2 linked regions of the Drosophila melanogaster genome follow. The protein of the gene in region 1 interacts with the protein of each later gene in a pairwise test. Each region holds a gene or a part of one and is shown on either strand. Other genes may lie near its edges.

Evidence for each region.
Region 2: the proteins of metro (region 1) and CG13965 interact in a two-hybrid assay, tested with the Drosophila melanogaster proteins (one large-scale study listed by BioGRID).

The regions. Positions count from the first base shown.
Region 1 is NT_033778.4:11,230,898-11,234,652, forward strand, and holds the start of metro (menage a trois), read right to left. Parts: upstream 1,620-3,755; 5' UTR 1,257-1,619; intron 1-1,256. Other genes in the region: CG13218 (uncharacterized protein), read right to left, coding at 2,367-2,807; CG13228 (uncharacterized protein), read left to right, coding at 3,106-3,513.
Region 2 is NT_033779.5:19,961,110-19,964,335, forward strand, and holds CG13965 (uncharacterized protein), read right to left. Parts: upstream 1,244-3,226; 5' UTR 1,190-1,243; coding exon 1,166-1,189; intron 1,106-1,165; coding exon 728-1,105; 3' UTR 649-727; downstream 1-648. Other genes in the region: CG42866 (uncharacterized protein), read right to left, coding at 330-470, 530-553; CG16772 (uncharacterized protein), read left to right, coding at 1,616-1,645, 1,717-2,622; CG10680 (uncharacterized protein), read left to right, coding at 3,122-3,172.

The DNA.
Region 1 (3,755 bases):
CACCAACACGCTGCCCTATTGCATGACCGGTGCTCATTAGTGTCACGCTTTGTGGTACGTGGGTGGTGATTAGTGTCAACTGAATGGACGCCTCTGGAGCCCAAGAATAGCGTCTCAAGTGTGGCACTCGCGTGTCCTTCAACTTGCCACGGCCTCTCGCGCTTCTGTTTCCCTATATGGTAATGAGAAAAACGCACATCTTGGCCCTCCGACACTTTCCGAAAGTTGGCCAACGACCTTGAACTACATACTCGTCGGCACACACAGCCACCCAGCAGAAGCACGAGCTAAAATTTCAATTTTCAGGGTTTCAGTTGCAGCGACGTCAGTGCGTGGGATCCGAGGGATGCAGCGCCATTTGAGGTTATTTTATTCCAGAGGGTGGTAAGTTTAAACCACAGGATATCAACCGTTGTCTAAACTACCACCATCGTGTACAAGCACTACCTTCTCACATCAATTACAATTTACTTGTAAAAACAAATGGGTTGTTTTAGGAAGCGCTGTTTTACAATTTGTGCAGATTTTTGAGAAATTGAGAAAATACAAACACACCATTTTGTATTGTTCAAGGAATCTCTAGTTAGCTAGTCTCTCTAGTCTCCATTCTCAACATATGTAGAATCTGGTTCAGAATTTGCTTTCTACGAATGATGTTACAGCTAGGTGTACAACTTTTAACTTGGTAAAGGTATTATTTTGGACAGCTTTCCGTACTTTCAAGGCAATTCCCTGTGGGGGCTTGTTGCATTTGCCACTATTACTGCTGTCAATCAGCCAAATGGCAAGCAGAAGCCAAGAAAGCGAGTCAAGACTGGCCCCAATCACACTAATTACACTGAGAAAAGCCGAGAGGGGCCAAGAGGTCTGGCGAAAAGCGGAATAATGACGTTGCCCGGGGTTCGTCAATTGCGAAAGTGGGTGGCATGGGGCGGCATAAGAGACAGTCCTTATGGCGAGTAGATAAGGCAGGTGCCAGGACTTCAACGCCCCCCAATCTCTCCTTCTATTTAGGGTAATTGAAAACTTCAAGTAATTGCACTGTGTTCCTTAAGTCCGAACGAAAGAGATAATCTGGTCATACTGAAAATAGCGGTGGCTTAAGAGAAAGTCATAAAGACATTGAAATCGCTGAGAGAGAGAGAGAGAGACTGACAGCTGAGAGAGTGTTAAAAGTTTTCCCCCGAGCATTCAATTAACAACAAAATCTGGCCAAAAAGAAGAAAACGAACAATAATTCGAATGGAGCTTATCACCTGGAGTTTTTCTGGGCAGTTGGCCAATACGATACAGACGGATTTCGGTTGAGTCCCAGCGTTGTTTTATTTTTAAATTTCCACTTCACTCGCAGACACTCACGCACACACAGAGGCACAAAAACACGGCATGTCTGCTATTTTCGCTATTTTTAGGCCTCTAATATTGCGCACTAGTTTAGTTAACCGTTAATATATCAGGATATCCTTAGACTCTTTGCAGCACTTCACATATTTCACAATAAGGATTATCAAGGTGATGGCCACCAGAGTCCGCCAGCGGGAATCCCAGAACGGCGAATAACGGGAGCGAGAGCGACTGCACACGACGGGCAAAGAACAACGTTTAATTTCAGGAATTCATTTCCACGTCGAGGGAACTGCCATCTCGCGAATCTGTCCAGCTCTTTAAAGAGCGCCAAACTTGGTACTCTTAACACTTACTCTTAGAACTAAATCCGCATACTATTTGTTATGGAAAACTTTGATAACTTATAGTATTGTGGATTTTAGTAAACAAGCTTTCTTTATTTAATATTTAAATGTAACATTTTGCAGATACAAATCAAAATGATAATAATAATCTATATTTTTAAACACATATGTATATTTCAAAAAAAATTCTTTTCGAAAGCATATCCATTGTAACTTATTGTATTTTGAAAAAATGTACTGTAATGTAAACCACTGTACCACTCTCTTTACAAGTCAAAACAAGAGTAAAAGAAATTTAGAGCGTGCTCGTGATATATTGAGTAAGTAGAAGAACAACGGAAATGAATGGGACGAAATGCACCACCAGAGAGTGGGAAATCATAAAGTGGGAGAGCACAGAGCGCCAATTGGACTTTTGCTGGGGGTGGAATCTGCGCAGGTCAGCAGAAATGCAGAGCGGAAGAAATACAGGGTGTTCAGGAGCAAGTTCTCAGGATTATGTTACCATAATTCGGCATATGAATTGATTGTTATTAATTAGCTTGTAAATACTTATCCTTAAGAAAGTGCGTCTGCTTTAGTTATAAACAAAGTCTCATTGTTAAAAATAAACATATTAATGGTACTAATACAATTTATTATAATTGGTTATTAAACTACATAGCATGCTTGTATTTATCCCAGCAGACCGCCACCAGCTAAGCCCGCTCCTCCAGCAGCACCAAGTCCGGCGAATCCTCCTCCAAATTTTTTGTCGTACCGGGCGCGGTATCCACCACCGAATCCCCTCGCTCGCACGCGATAGCTTTCCTTGTAGCGTCCAAAACCGGCACCACCTCCGATTCCGCCACCAATGAATCCACCTCCACCTGCTAGGCCAAGAGCTTGCGGCTGCTGTTGGATGAGGGGCACCTGTTGCACGACGGGAACCTGTTGGACAACGGGCACTTGTTGCACAACGGGAACCTGCTGGACTCCTCCGATGCCACCAACTCCGCCAATGGCTGCCACTCCTCCAACCGCTCCGATTCCACCTCCTCCCAGGGAATGGGCTTCAGTCCGCCAAGCGCCAATTGCCAGTAATAACAAAAAATGCACTTGAAGATCGCACCTCATCTCGGCTGAGTGTCCAATAACGATGTGAGTTACCTTAACTAAATCACCTGGCTTTTAATGCCCAGGCCGGCGACCTTCAGACCACAAACGATGACGATGATGAGGTGTGAACCACCTTACCAGTGGGCAAAACCATGATTCCCCCAATAGAACCGCCAAAACATAGATGGGGCCTTAGAGTTATGGGTTTTTTACCCGGGCGCCCCAATATGCAAATTGGAAGTGCAAACAGTGGCCACTAATTAATTTGCATAAATAAGCAGCTGGGAGTGGGGCAGACCAAACAGTTAACCCCATCATGTTGTGGCAAACTGTCTACCTGCTCGTCTTGGCGTGCGCCGTGGTCAGCACCACACCGATCCTCTCCAGCGTCGACGAGGAGAACATTAGAAGACCCCGTCACATTGGTGGATTTGGAGGTGGCGGAGTCGTTGGAGGCGGTATCGTGGGCGGCGGCATCATCGGAGGCGGAGGAGTTGCTGCCCCCATAGTGGCAGCCCCCGCTATCCAAACAGTTCCCGTTGTGTCCACTGTGCCCATCATCACCACTGTTCCCGTCATACAGACGATACCCAGCTATGGCTACGGATATGGCGGTGGCTATCCCGTTGGAGGAGGATTGGGCGGACTAGGTGGCATCGGAGGCGGCGGATTCGTTGGCGGCGCTGTGGGTTTTGCCAAATTCAAAGGCGGTTTCTTTGGCTAGACGTTTCCGAATAAATCTGAGCGTTTCTTGAGACCCTCTAGTGTAAACAATGGATAAACAAAAAAGTACTGCAAGATCGAGTTTCATTTTGCCGAGTGTTTGGAATCGACAAAGTCGATGAGCTTGCATATTCCGTAGTTAACTGGCTGTTATTTCTGGAAGAGTCTCTCGCTGCTATTTGCTTCCATATATATATGTACATATGTATGTCGAATATCGCGCGAGGCGAGGCGGATGGGCTT
Region 2 (3,226 bases), on another chromosome or scaffold:
TCCCATTAGTCACTTATCTCAAAATAGAAAAAAAAACAACATATTTTTAAAAGGGGGTTACTCATTCTAAAGAAAGGGTCAATTTATATTTATAAAATCCATTTCTCCTCATTTGAAATGTATATCGCTTGGATAGCAACAATTAATGCGATTCAATTTATTATTTACACATTCGAACAGTGGAAATGTTCAATTAAGCAGTGATCCATTGATATGATGAACAAGGCTTCCGCTTCCCATTGTCTGGCGAGATCCGAGGCATTATGGCCCTGTGAACGACTTTGCAACGGGCCATAAGTAATCGCGTGCAATCCCAACCTTGTCGGACATCAGATGGAGTTACGTTGTTTATGGTGGTGCCTCACACGTGCTGGCCAGTTTTTCCAGCGCTTTTCCTTCTCGATGTTGTGGTATCCATCGTGGCCCACGACATGTCTGGGCACTACTAGCTCCAGGGACAAAAAGAGGCACTGATGTGAAAATATAATATATACGATAAAAATGTTACTATTTCTTTATCTCTACTTACCAAGCAGAAAAAAATCAACCGCATTGGGAAACAATAGACTGGCGACTAATTCAATTCGTCATCTGTGAAGTTCTTGGTAAAACCACATAGGGTGTTCCCGAATTTCGACGGAATATATTAAAATTATTTAGTTTTTTATTCAATAATCTTCAGAGATTGGTCACAAAACGAAAGGGTATAATGGGATATACATATGAGCTAGGGACGTGGCGTGGTAAAGGCATCGTTCCAGCTTGCCCAATGCTTCTCCGTCTTCAGGCTGTGGAAGCCATCATGTGCTCTAACGTGTCGAGGTCCCTTTATATGGCTTCCTGGCTTCACAAATGGATCTCCTCCATTTTCAGGGTCAGGCGAGCCGTTCGGGTCTGGGTTGTCCGTGCTATTAACCATATCGGTGCTATTTGTTGGTGATTCTGTGACCTCCGACCCCGCTTCTGTGGTCTGAGTTAATTCTCCGATGGAACTGGCTTCTGTAACTGGAGACGTTTCGCCATCTGTTGGGGACGCTGGAGATGATTCAGCCGCAGGGGTTTCCTGAGCCTCGAGCGCGGCTACCAAGAATATAGCGATTCCAATCTAGAACAAAGAAACGTTCGATTATGTGCAATAATGAGGGAATGCCCCATTGGCACTCACCAGCTTCAGTTCAAGTTTCGCCATGCCTATCGTCACACCTGACACATAGTATGTGTACCTATACTGCGTCGAAACCAGAAGCGCCGACTGGGCAAAGCCACCTTTTATAGTCGCTGCGCAGGTGGAATCGATTGGAGCAGTTCTAAATTGATTGCGGGAATCGCTGCCTGGTTCTGCGGGCAGAACTAATTCTCTTAGTGACCAACTGATAGATGGCGATCTTTAATTTGCGAACGCAGTCCGGGAAATTCCGGCAGACGCATCCAACACCTGATGCCAATCGGGTTTTTCGAGAGAGATAGAGAGCTGATTGCTCTGGGGCTGTCTGTAATTGTTGGCTTACCGATTTCCATAATGGTGGGCGATTCTGGAGCTATATAAGTCAGCTATGGCCGGCAGAGAACAATCAGTTTTCGCTTGGCCCTTGCTAGTTGAACTCAGTCGGTTGGGATGTTCATCAAGTTGCTTCTAATTAGCCAGGTTGGTGCCAGATCTTGGCCAGGACAAAATGGCTCGAACTATGATTAACTTAACATACATTTTAATTCTAGCTGCTGGCGCTGAGTTACGCTCAGTTGTCGCTCGACGAGGCTAAAAAGCAAATCGATGCCTCGCTTTACAGCGAAGAGGAGACTACCGATGATACGCATCTGCCGGAGCCCCACCTGCCCCCCCAATATCAGCCTCATCATCCCCACAAGAAGGTGACCACCACCACTCCCGAGCCGGAAACCACAACTCCAAAGCCAGAAACCACCACGAAGCCCGCAATAGAGCAGGAGGGTGAGGCCACCGCTGCTCCCGATGACGGACTGGGTCAACTGGATGATGGCTTGCAACAAAACAATGATGGATCTGCGCTTCCAGAGTCCACCACTCCGGAACCGGAAACCACGACCCCTACGACGACCACCACCACAACGCCAAAGCCCCATAAGCATGAGCCCCACTTTCATCCCCATTCTTATCCGCATCCTCACCCCTATCCCTACCCCATTCAGTATCCCTACCCCCATCCAGGAGTGATATTCTCTGCCGCGGGACCTAAGCTTACTCCTCCATCGACCACACCGCCCACTGCCAAAGATGCGGACAAGGAATCGCCGGAGCTGTCTGGATATCCCTCCTATCCGACCTTCAGATCACCGTACTCGCCCTACCAACCCCAGGTGTTCCCTCAGCCTCGTAACTGGCCCAGCTTCCCAGGATACGGACCTCCCAGTCCCGGTTTCGGATACCCCCACAACCACAATCACGATCACGAAGAAGACTCCGGCGAAGATAAGCCCAAGGACAAGTCTGGTGAAAAGGATAAGGACGAGGATGTGGCTCTGAAGCCACCAGGATTTAGCTACCCGCAGGTCTATTTGATTCCCCGAAGACCAGTGATCTCTGTGCCCAGCTTTCCGCGTCCAGGAGGCGGATATGGTTCGCCCTACGGCTACGGACTCTACTAACACTCTCCGATAAATACTGTGAAAAATCTCCGAGTCCAGATAGTCAATAATATCTTAGTTTTATTTCAATCTTGAAATGTACTTCCTAACACAATAAACAACTTTTAGATTATATTTTCATGAGTTTTTAATATTTGCATATAATATTTAATGCTTTCGATCGTGTAAATCTGAGTACAAGGTTCTTCACTGAATGTGGGACTGCTTGGAGTTTTCTTTCGGTGCATTAAGAACTAGTAAGTAAGTTAAAGGCTCCTAGATTCGGGAAAATGATAATTGATGATTTGCGCATATGAGATTGAGTTATGGGCTTCTGATTTCCCTATCGTGTAATCCCCAGGCTGATAACCCCGGGCCCCGACGCTCTCACCTTGGTGATTTCCAGTCGAACGGGTTGGGATCGTGGTTGCATTTAATTGCAGCGCATTCCACCCAGTCAACTCATAGTTCTGTCGATCGTCGGAAGTTCGAGACGTGAGTGTCAGTCGAGATCTGCGAGATGTTGCCGCTCCAATTCGTTTTGCTGGGCTGTCTGTTCATCGCTCAGGGGGTAACTATTCATCGGTTTGTTCCACAATTTAGGCTTCAATGAGTTCTATATTTT